Oryctolagus cuniculus: one gene and its partners. The protein of the gene in region 1 interacts with the protein of each later gene in a biochemical or structural test. Links are inferred from orthologs where the notes say so. Each region holds a gene or a part of one and is shown on either strand. Other genes may lie near its edges.

Region 1 (3,647 bases):
GGCTTCTCAAACATTCTCAAATCCCATTTTAACAACTATTTTTCTTACTTAGCTAGAAAATTTACTAAAAAATCTAAAAGAAATTCTATTTTTACTCTGTTTTTCCAATAATCCTAGCCACATCCAAAAGTTGAGTCATCTAAATATCATTAACATACTTGTATTTTTACACAGTGACTTACCAACTCTTGGGGTAGTAGTGCCACTCTGTTCTGCAGGAGATGAAGTATTAAAAGCTGAGATTGGAATTTTCATTTGTATAGGACCTCGATTACTGGATGAACTATAAAGTCCTGATGGTCCTACAGTGGGCAATGAAGTCCTTGTGGCTTGTACAATAGAGTGTGCTGTTGGCACAGCCTGCACAGCAAGCGTTGTTCCTAATGGTGCCGCACTGGCAGGAGAGTTCCTTTGAATACTAGGACTGGGTACAGACGGAGCACTGTTTGGTTTTGTGGGATTTGGCAAGGATGGCAAGGATACTGAATTTTTGGTAAGACCACTAACAGCAGGTGGGCTCTGCACAGATATAAATTCAACGTTGCCAGATGGTTGATTGGTCACCAAAGTCCCTGGATGGCTCTGCAGGAGCTGAGGCTGGGAGGACACCGCAACAGGAACATGCAAAATCACTGGCAAAGATTGTAATGAGATTGTAGGCTGGGGATTTCCACTAGGCACCTGAGTAGAAGCAACAACTGTAGCTGTGTTGGGTGCAGGAAGAACTGAAGCTGGTGTCAGAGAACCCGAAGTTGCTGGAGTCTGCAATTTAGGTTGACTATTGACAACTGTTGGTGGAGTGACAAGGTTGGTTGAAGATACTACAAAAGAAAATGAAGTCTATATTTAAAGAGCTACCTTAATTTATTAGCTAAGACAATATAATACATACAAATCCAACATACTGTGTTGGGTATAGTTTTTCATAATGAAATTTTTCTAAATTTAAATTCTGGAAATTCTTAGAAGTATTCTGAATATATATTGGGTATATCATGAAAACAGTATATAATTTATGATTTATATCTCAACATCAAAAGTCTGAAATTTACCATTTCAAAGTAATTAGCAAAATAACTAAGTAAAAATGTACATTAAAAAAAATAACTGTAAAAAATACTATGAATGCTGTAAATACCAGCAATACATAAATGCAAATAGTAAACCCAGAAAGAGTCAGGACCGTCAACAGATAATAGGTAAACTCTGTCATTATATTTTTTAATTTGGATCATGAGAAACCTGTATTTGTGGACCAAGTTTTATTGAATTCCCTCAACTAATGAAGGAAAGCTCTCTCTTCTGACAATGTACAACACAGAAAACAGCACTGAACAAGGATGGAAGATAAATTAAGAAGACAGTATATACCAAAGTGCAGAAAAGATAAAAATTGTGGCCACTAGAGTTTTACAGTAATTCTGATGTAACTACTTGTGTTTATTCTCCTTGGAATGGGTTTAAAATAGGATTAAGGTTATTTTTTATTGATTTTAAAATCTTCTCAAAATCAGCTACACTAAAAGCAGCAATTATTAAAGTGTAGTACAGGGGTTTCCTGAAACCATTCAGGGACTCAGCAATGCCAAAACTATTTTCATGATAATAATAATGAGAATAAGAAGAAAATATCTGACGTATTCACAGTGTGTTCACTTGCATTGATGGAGCAAAAGCAATGGTGAGTAAAACTTCTAATGCCTTACTTAGCACAACAGTCTCCCCGCCTCATCTGTGGGGGACACTGCAAAGAACCCAGAGGATGCATGAAACATACATGGTTTAGAACCCTCTGTATACTATGTTTTCTCCTAAAAAGTCATACACTGTTTAATGATGGGGAAACAGATGTCACTGTTGTATGAACATCAAAGAATGTAATTAAACCTATAAGGTCAAGACCAATCACTTGACTGGCCTCTTGAGGCAATCAAGAAACTAAGTAAACATGAGAAGTATGAGGCTGCTGCTGGCATAACATGGCATACTATTTTACAGCAAACTTTCTTTTTTATGTTTACACTCTAAAAGTATAAATATAACATAATCATAAATCAGTAACATAGTTCACTTATTCTCATCAAGTATTATGTGCTGTGAATAATCATTTGTGATATACGTTAATATGACTGGCAGCAAAGTGTGCTTATGCCAGCAACACCAAACATGTGAGCAATGTTTTCCACTATGATATTACAACAACTATTCCATCTCCAGAGTTGTTAGCAACTTTTCAGTTCCATTACAGTGTGATGGGACCACTCTGCACAAACCTTAAAAAAACTAGTACTTGCCTGTACCAAAGAATATCTACAATTAGCTAAATGGGCTAGACCTTTTACATCTACATATGCAGCTACTTTAAAAAGCCCATGGAGTAACTGAATTAAAAGGTAAGTTTAGCATGGTTTAAAAAAATCTGAGATCCATATACACATTTTTCATAACATGCATTTTCCATGAACTTCCTTAGTGGCTTTGCTTTACAGGAGACTGCATTTCTTTCAAACACTTCAACCAAACCAATACACCAGAACAGACTGAAAGCAAGTACAGAGCTGAGAATCCAGTTATCTTCAGCTGTTTTAATATACCAAACCAAACATTAAAGATATGTGAATATACAACAATGATACTTTCATATCAGTATTTTTTATTGAAAAATTATGATTTTTCATGAAAATTTTCTCAGCATTACAAATTTTGGGTTTACTATTTTTAAATGAATAAACACTCCAGAATTTTGTTTTAATGTCTATTAAATTTCAACTAATAGTAAATGTCAACTGGTATAATAACCCCACATAAACCATTTTCTTCATAATTAATAATTTGTTAAGATTACGAAGGCATCAAAAGACCAGAAAATTTGAATGTACTACCACACTAGAGATATGTGAATGCCACATACTTCTCTGTGATTCTGAATTTTAAAAATGTTGTACTTAAGACTAATGTGCCCCATTCTTTAGTCATTTCAACCTCAAACGCATGTAAAATAATGAAAACCTTCACCACCTAACAAAATGTATTTCAGTGTTAGGAAATGTTACCTGTATTTACAGGAGTTTGAAAAGATGGTGGTGTACTCTCACTTGCATTTCTTTTGGATTCCAGCATCTGTCTTACTGTGCTTGCATTCCTTTGAAATACAGACACAATAAGTCAACATATATGGCATTCATCAAGACACTAATTGATGTACAGAAAATGTAGTGACTCTTAAAACCACAAACCAGTGTAATGTGTGCATAGTTAGCACACAGACAAAAATTTTAAGTGCTTGGGTTAGGCTATCAGGGAAGAGTCTTGCTCTTACATTCTAACATTATCAATACTTAACCAAAAGAACAAATATAGGTCTTTTACACACACACACACACACAGTCTTTCTTATCCTTCAATAAAGCATTTCTCAACTACTTAAGAGAATACTATTTATGACAAGTAGTAAAAGAATACATAATGGATGAAGAAAGCCTTATAACAAATTAACAAAATGAGTATTAACATGAACAAAAGTAGTATCAAGATAAAAATAACAAATCAGAAAAAGTAAACATACTCAATCCAGTATATCAAACATTTATTTCTACAGAAATATATTCTAAGATTTTTCTACAAAATAAACACCCTTGTTCTGATAT
Region 2 (4,274 bases), on another chromosome or scaffold:
GAGCAAAACATACTGTAAGCGGCTCCAGGTGCTGTGTCCTGAGCACTCGCGGGACCCCAAAGTAAGCATTTCCTCAGCCCCCACCTGCCTCCCCTTCCCTGTTCTTTGCTTCCTCCCTCAGCTCCTGTCCTTTTCCATTTCCTACCTGGCCACTCGATTCCTCCCCCAGGAGTGCGCCCCGCTCCTGGGCTCCTCACCACCTCTGCATCCCCTCCCTGCGTGTCCCTGCAGGTGCCAGCCGACGAGGTGTGCGGGTGTCCTCTTGTGCGGGATGTCTTTGAGCTCACAGGTGACTTCTGCCGCCTGCCCAAGCGCCAGTGCAATCGTCATTACTGCTGGGAGAAGCTGCGGCGAGCCGAAGTGGACCTGGAGCGCGTGCGCGTGGTAGGTTGGGTGCTGGCTGTGGCCAGGGGCCCGCAGGCCCGCAGGCTCCTGTGACTTCTCACGGCTCCCTGTGTCCTTCGGCAGTGGTACAAGTTGGACGAGCTGTTTGAGCAGGAGCGCAACGTGCGCACAGCCATGACAAACCGCGCAGGGCTGCTGGCCTTGATGCTGCACCAGACAATCCAGCACGACCCGCTCACCACCGACCTGCGCTCCAGCGCCGACCGCTGAGCGCACCGGCCCAGGCCCGCCCGGGCGGCCTGCTCCTCCGTTTGTTCGTTCCTCCTTCGTCTGTTTCTTCAGCTGCCCCCAAGTTTCTCCCTGTGCCCAGCCAGCACCTGAGTGCCCATCTGCCCCTACCAGGGGGTCTCAGACTGCGTCCGTCGGTCTGTCTCCGCTCTTGTGCTGGGTGGGACTGTGAAGTTTGCTCACCCTTGCCTCCCGCGGTTTTGTTAATAAAATTTTGAAGCAAGAAGAGGACTTGCTTGATGTGTGCGCACTGTGCAGGCTCCCCACGCAGTCCCTGGCGGGGGCGCCCACTGGCGGCACAGTGTGGCTGCGTGTCCAGACCAGCTGTGCGTGCAGCGGCCGACCCGCTCCTGGAAAGTGATCAGGAGCCCCCGCCGGCTCTCCGCGGTCAGCGGTCGGCGCAGGGCTCGCCTGGGGCGGGGCTGCCACGCCCCCCACGCCCCGGCTACCTGCCATGCGGCACCGACCCCTCCCCTGGAGTTGGGGGTCTGCGCGCCCTGGGGCAGCCAGCGCGAAGGCTCGACCCCAGCTTCCCTCCCTTGCCGGTGACTCCCCGTGGACAGCGGAGGAAATGGAGAACCCAGACCAACCTCGCTGTCCACGCCCCCTCAGGCTCGGACTGGCCCCGGCGAGCGCAGGCGCAAACTAGATGGCCCCCCGCGGGCCGGACCAGCCGCCCGGGGGAGCGAGTCGCGCAGGCGCGCGGGTGCCCGACGGGGAGGCGAGCGGCCGTGGGACGTCAGCACGCAGGCACCGCCCGCTCCGTGCCAGGGGCGCGCGCTGCTGTGGACGTCAGCACGCAGGCGCGGGAGCCTGGCTCGGAGGGCAGTGGCCATCGGGGCTATAGCGCGCAGGTGTCCTGTCGGAGGCGGGGCCCGAGAGGCAGGCAGCGGATTTCCGGTTCCGGGAACAACGAACGGCCGCGGAGGCGACAGCTACTGCTCCGGAGGAGGCGGCTGCAGAGGAGGAAGAGTAGGACTAGGCGGGAGCGCAGGCTGGTTCCGCGCCATGGGCCCGCGGGCCTAGAGCGGCGGAAGCTCCCGGCCCGGTGCCAAGCTGGTGAGACAGCCGTGGGGGTGGGAGTGGAGAGCGCTCGGGCGGAGAATGGGGGGGAATTGACGCTCAGAACGCTGACGGGGAGCAATGAAGGGCCCTGGGCCCGACGAGGGGCGGAATGGCGGCGTCGAATATGGAAAGGGAGGAACGGGGCATTTCGGCAGAGGTCGGGAAGGAATGGGGCTCGGAGCGCTGACAGGTGAAGTGTCAGAATCCTAGGACGGGGACCGAGAGGCGTGGGGGCGGCAGAATGCCAAGGGGAGATGGCGGGGCCGCGGGTTAAGGAGAGAGAAATGGGGGTGCAGAACGCAGGGCGGGAGGGAGGCTAGGACGGGGGCTTGGGAGGACGAGGAGAAAGAGCGGGTGAGAGCACTGGCAGGTGGGGTGGCATGGCGGGGGGACAGCAAGGCGGGGCGCTGGGGCGGGGAGGCGTTCGGGATGCTAGGGCAGAAGTCGGGGTCTCGGTCTGCTGAGGGGCATGCAGGATGGAAGGTGGAGGGGCAGGCGTGGGCAGCAGGGAGGAACTGTGGGCCAGAACGCGGAGAAAGAGGGAAAGGAAGGGGCCGGGGAGCTCTTGGGCTGATGAATGGGAAGAATGAGGAGGCGGTCGGAGGATCTGGAGGAGTGGGGGGCTCTCCCGGCGCGGGGGCAGGGGAAGTCGAAGTCATCATAGTGCGGTCGCCGGGTAGGAGGGCGTCAGAGAAGGCTGGGGCAGCTAACACACTGGAGGAGAGACTTCGGGAACTCCTGGGTGAAGAAGATAGGGTGATGAGGAGATCCGGGCTAGGGGACTGAGGACCAGAGGAGCGGGGTGTCAGAGGGTGGGAGGAATGCGTTCTTGGACTGCGAGCGGACAGTGGGAGCGTCCTAGGTGACAAAGGGGGATAGGGCCCTTAGGCGAGAGACAGGGTGTCCTGTGCCGAGGACCGTTACCACAGGGGGAAGACAGGTTCTTGCGTTGGCAGGGGGAGAAATGACGGACTCTGTCTACAGAGGAAAAGCACACTGAGAACAGGGAGCATCGGCGGCAGGCTGGTGAGGAGGGGGAGGCCAGAGGCACTCTGAGCCAGGGCAGGGGAGAGGAAGGTGGGGATGGAGGCGCGCTTCCAAAGACGGTCTCGCTGTGCATCCAGTGCTTGGTGCGGCCCAGACCTCAGTCTCTCTCGTGTCCTCCCTTCTCCAACTTCGCAGGCTGCTGCTGCTCTCCAAGGCCTCCATGGCTGAGGACTGGCGGGACTGCCCAGCCCTGGGCCCTGGCTGGAAGCGCCGTGAAGTCTTTCGCAAGTCAGGGGCCACCTGCGGGCGCTCAGACATCTATTACCAGAGGTACTGGCAGAGTGCTGTGCACAGTCAGGCGTGGGGCTGGGCCTGCTTCAGGCTGGGGTGTGGTTAGACACTGGCAGATTCCACATTTGCAAATTCACCTGCTTAATAAAATTTATTTGTAACTGAAGTCAACACTCAAGGTGCTTTCGTGGCTATCTGTGGCCGTACAGAGCAGTGAAAAATTGGTCGCTTGATGCATGCGTTCCTAGCTGAGGCTGAACAAGGCCTTTGTGTTTCACCTTTTGGACTGCAGACAAGCGTCCTTGCCCAGTCGACTTCCTACCACGTTTTTTGCATTTCTGGGCTGGTGATTTAAAATGGCCCCCAAGTGTGCCGAAGTCTGAGAAGTGTGTTCTGAGTGTAAGAAGACTGTGATGTGCCTTAGAGAGATAACAGTGGGTTAAATAAGCAGCTTGCCGGCAGGAGTTGCAGCGCCTTTGGCTGTGGAGTTCAGTGTTAGGAGTCCAAAATGTGGTACCTCCAGAGGAAGAAGAGGAAACTTGCTAACGGGTGGGTGAAGCTGCTCCAGAGAGTACAGCAACAGAACAATCTGTAGCACTTGATGAGGTTATGGAAAAGACGGGAAAGCAGCTAAATTCGCGGATCCACGAAACGATGACCGATAAAGCATAGTGGCCAGTATTATGAGGAGAGCCGAAGTCATGTTACCTTGTTTTAGGAAAATATTAAACCCATCTCTGCTAGCGCTGGCTGGCTTGCACGTTTCAAAAGCTGATACGACGTGAAAAATGTTAAGCTTGCATGCGATGCAAGTTCTGCAGATCGGAAGTCTGAGGAAGGATTTTTGAAATACTTGCAAAGTGTTATTATAGGAAGAGAGTTACACGGAAGAGTGGGTTTTCAGTGCCAGTGAGGCCAGCTTACTTTATGAGATCGTTTGCAAACCTGTATAACAAATGTTCTTCAAAGCCCTTGTAAATGAATCATTCAAAGACTGTGCAGCTAATCATTTGTGACAGATAGCTGTTCAGTAAGGTATATTTAAATAGCAGCACATGAAATAAGGTTCTGTTTTGACTAATTGATGAAAATGCGACCATGAAACCTTGTGTTTCCCTAGAAGCAGTGGTTTCATATGTACTTTCTAGAACATAGCTACCGTAGTAATGAGAATTGACCGTCAGTGCGTAAATATAGGAGGTAAACAACATTTACACATTTTAGGATGTGTCAGTGACACAGTGATTGAATTTCCTGTGCTCATCTGGATTTCTTTTTGTATCTGAGCTGTTATGTCC
Region 3 (3,647 bases), on another chromosome or scaffold:
GCTATAATTTTTGGATCAGTCTCTTCTGGAATCAGGCCACGGAGAAAGTAGGATGGTTTCTCCCAATCTCTCCTATAAACCAGTGGTAAGACAAGATTTCTTTTTGTTCTGGGCTATCATTCCCATGATCGCATGCTTCTTTTTCCCCTAGGAACCACCCAAGTACATACAAGGAAGAGTCTGGGGAAAAGATCCTAAGAACAACTGTCTTGCCACTAGGACATGCTCTGGAGTTCTGCAGAATGGAAACCTGGAACACATTCATTGGCTGATGCTTCTTAACAACAGAATGGAAAAGAAACTAATGGGGGGTGTTCAGGAGGAAGCATGTTTCCTTTCAGGATCTGAACTCAGAGCTCCACACATCAAGGCTTAGTGTTACCCTGGAAGACAATGGTGCCCAAGTCCAAATACTCCACTAACTTCTGAATCTGACTCCTATGAGTCACTTCCTCTTCTGAACACATCTTTTTCTTACTGAAGGCTTCTACCTATCATCTGACCACTTTTTAAAGTTTAAGCAAACTGATTTCAGATCATCACCTTCAAAGCATCTCTTGTGTAGTTCCACAGAAAGGCTTCCGATTCTTCAGGTTTACAGCAGCTAGTGAGGGGAGATGCGTTTGACTCTCCGGCACCAAGAAGGTGCCTGCGTCAGTAGTACTTTGAGCACTCCCGCCACAGCTACCTCAAGCATCAGCCTGAGTTCTAAGGTTTTCCATTCTGCTGCTGGGACTAATGTCTTGAAAAGATGGACAGAAGTGCCTCACCTAGGGATCACTATCAAACACAAAGTGTGAAGTGACCAGGAGAGAGAGGGGCAGACAGAAAGGGCGGAGTCAGGAAAGGAGTGCAAGAAGCTGATCCCAAATAAAAATACAAAATTAAGAAAGGAAAAACATTATGTTTGTATAATTAAACTAAAAGCTGAAGATATGAACGCTTAATCTGGTGGGTAGCCAAGACAACATCCACAGAAAAGCTTGATGTGTCACAACAAGGCTCAGCCATAGGAAAATAAGGCAATATAAAAAAAATGACCAAGGTATTTTGGTCACAGAATGGTCTCCTTCCTCCTCCCAGCCAACCCCTGTGAATGCATCTCTATATATCTTTTTATATATAATATATATATAATATAGAATCTTTTTTGTTAAAAAGTATTTCAATGATCATATATATTTATCAAGGCATGATGGCTTTAGGAAAGGGGGGATCCATCATGAGACAGCTGAGAAGGGAAACGCAGGAAGGAGAGGCTGGGGTCAGAAGTGTAAAAAGAAACCAGGGTCAAACACTCATCAAAGGGTGGCATCAGCAGAATGTTCACTAATGTCTCCCGCCTTCAGAAAGGCACTGATGACACACAAGTGGGTGCCGGGACCCCATCGCTTCTCTCGTTTGCCTTCCCCAACTCTTCCACCACCATGCATTTTAATGCCTCATGGCTTCACTCTCCCACATGTCTCTTGGACCCATGCTACCTTGTATCCCAGGGTTGACAGGTATGGCCCATGTGTCTCTGGCCCCGGGTGCCTGATCTCAGAAGCCATTGCCACTGATATTAATGGACTGCAGATCCGCAACCTGCATGACGTTGATGCCACTGTTGGCAAGACGAGCAATGCCCTCTGGACAGATGGCCTCCATGGCTACCATATTGGTGGTAATAAGGGCTGACGGGGTAGCAGTGCCGCTGCCTTCCGAACCTGCCCCACTGTCCAGGGGCAAAGTGCCCACGCTCAGGGCAACACCTGGGCCTGCCTTCTTATTCTGGTGAGTCTTGATATGCTTTGACAGGTGGTCACTCCTCATGAAGCGCTTAGGACACTCAGGACAGGCAAATTTCTTTTCACCTAGGTAAAGAAGAGAAAGAAGATAAGAAACTAGGGGCTGGCAAACTGGGTAAAGCCACTGCCTGCAAAGCTGACATCCCATACTGGCATTGGTTTGAGTTCTGGTTGTTCTACTTCTGGTTCAGCTCCCTGCCAATGTGCTTTGGAAAGCAGCAGACAACGGCCGAAGTTCCTGGGCTCCTGCACCCACATTAGAGAAGTAGAAGCTCCTGGCTTCCATCTGGCCTGCCCCAGCCATTGTGGCCATTTGCGGAGTGAATGCATGAAATATCTCTCTCTCTCACTTCCCTGTAACTCTTTTATTTTTTTTTAAAGATTTATTTATTTATTTGAAAGTCAGAGTTACACAGAAAGAGAAGGAGAGGCAGAGAGAGAGAGAGAGGTTTTCCTTCTGTTGGTTCATCCCAGAAATGGCCGCAATGGCCAGAGCTGCGCTGATCCGAAGCCAGGAGGTTTTTCTGAGTCTCCCATGTGAGTGCAGGAGTCCAACCACTTGGGCCATCTTCTACTGCTTTCGGCAGTGCCGGCCCCCACTATAACTCTTTCAAAAAGAAATCTTTTAAAAAAATAAAAGAAAGAAGAAAAAGAAACTAATAATAAGGGGGCCGGTGTTATGGCATAGCGGGTTAAGCTAACACCTGTAATGCCTGCAGCCCATATGGGCGTCAGTTCCAGTCCCAAATGCTCCACTTCAGATCCAGCTCCCTGCTAATGCTCCTGGGAAAAGCAAAAGAAGATGGCCCAAGGGACTGGCCCCCCGCCACCCATGTGAGAGACCTAGATGAAGCTCATGGTATCAGCATGGCCCAGCCCTAGCTGTTGCAGTCATCTGAGGGGTGAATGGTGGATGGACAATCTCTGACTTTCAAATAAATAAATATATCTTTAAGGAAAAAAAAAAAAAAAGAGAGCGAGAGAAACTGCTAATTCACTGCCTTCAAACAGTATTAGGCAGAAAAAGACCGGAATTCTTTCCAATTTTTGGAGAAGAACCATAGGTAAAAGGCTGGGAGGCAACACAGAGACTAAAAATAATGAGATCAATCCTCCTCTTTCAAAATCCCACTTGAGGGGCCAGCATTGTGGCATAGGGAGTTGGGTTGCCCCTTTGCAGCACCAACATCCCATGGGCACCAGTTTGACTCCTAGCTGCTCTAATTCTGATCCAGTTCCCTACTAGTGTGCATGGGAAAGCAGCAGAAGATGGCCCAAGCTCCCAGGTAGGAGACCAGGAAGAAGTTCCTGGCTCCTGGCTTTGGCTTGGCCCAGTCCTGGCTGTTGCAGCCTTTTTTTTTTTTTTTTTTTTTGGACAGGCAGAGTGGACAGTGAGAGAGACAGAGAGAAAGGTCTTCCCTTTGCCGTTGGTTCACCCTCCAATGGCCGCCGCGGCCGGTGCGCTGCGGCCGGCGCACCGCGCTGATCCAAAGGCAGGAGCCAGGTGCTTCTCCTGGTCTCCCATGGGGTGCAGCGCCCAAGCACTTGGGCCATCCTCCACTGCACTCCCTGGCCACAGCAGAGAGCTGGCCTGGAAGAGGGGCAACTGGGACAGAATCCGGTGCCCCGACCGGGACTAGAATCCGGGGTGCCGGCGCCGCAAGGCGGAGGATTAGCCTAGTGAGCCACGGCGCCGGCCGAAACCTAGTTCCTTTTTAAAATTTATTTGAAAGGCAGAGTTCAGAGAGCAGGGGAGCGAGGGAGAGAGAGAGAGAGGGAGGGAGGGAGGGGGAGAGAGAGAGAGAGAGAGAGAGAGAGAGAGATCTTCCATCCAATGGTTCACTCCCCAGATGGCCG

What was found.
Region 2: the proteins of ATF7IP (region 1) and MBD1 form a complex in vitro, tested with the Homo sapiens proteins (2 studies listed by BioGRID). The link is inferred for Oryctolagus cuniculus from reciprocal best matches to the Homo sapiens genes ATF7IP and MBD1.
Region 3: the proteins of ATF7IP (region 1) and SP1 form a complex in vitro, tested with the Homo sapiens proteins (3 studies listed by BioGRID). The link is inferred for Oryctolagus cuniculus from reciprocal best matches to the Homo sapiens genes ATF7IP and SP1.

Annotation. Positions count from the first base shown.
Region 1 is NC_091440.1:112,284,819-112,288,465, reverse strand, and holds part of ATF7IP (activating transcription factor 7-interacting protein 1), read right to left. Parts: intron 3,143-3,647; coding exon 3,054-3,142; intron 822-3,053; coding exon 183-821; intron 1-182. UniProt on the Homo sapiens protein: Recruiter that couples transcriptional factors to general transcription apparatus and thereby modulates transcription regulation and chromatin formation. Can both act as an activator or a repressor depending on the context.
Region 2 is NC_091441.1:27,831,402-27,835,675, forward strand, and holds the start of MBD1 (methyl-CpG-binding domain protein 1), read left to right. Parts: upstream 1-1,434; 5' UTR 1,435-1,692; intron 1,693-2,654; exon of another isoform or gene 2,655-2,724; intron 2,725-2,880; 5' UTR 2,881-2,905; coding exon 2,906-3,015; intron 3,016-4,274. Other genes in the region: CXXC1 (CXXC-type zinc finger protein 1), read left to right, coding at 1-61, 232-384, 469-615. UniProt on the Homo sapiens protein: Transcriptional repressor that binds CpG islands in promoters where the DNA is methylated at position 5 of cytosine within CpG dinucleotides. Binding is abolished by the presence of 7-mG that is produced by DNA damage by methylmethanesulfonate (MMS).
Region 3 is NC_091442.1:56,405,879-56,409,525, reverse strand, and holds part of SP1 (transcription factor Sp1), read right to left. Parts: intron 1,857-3,647; coding exon 1,543-1,856; 3' UTR 1-1,542. UniProt on the Homo sapiens protein: Transcription factor that can activate or repress transcription in response to physiological and pathological stimuli.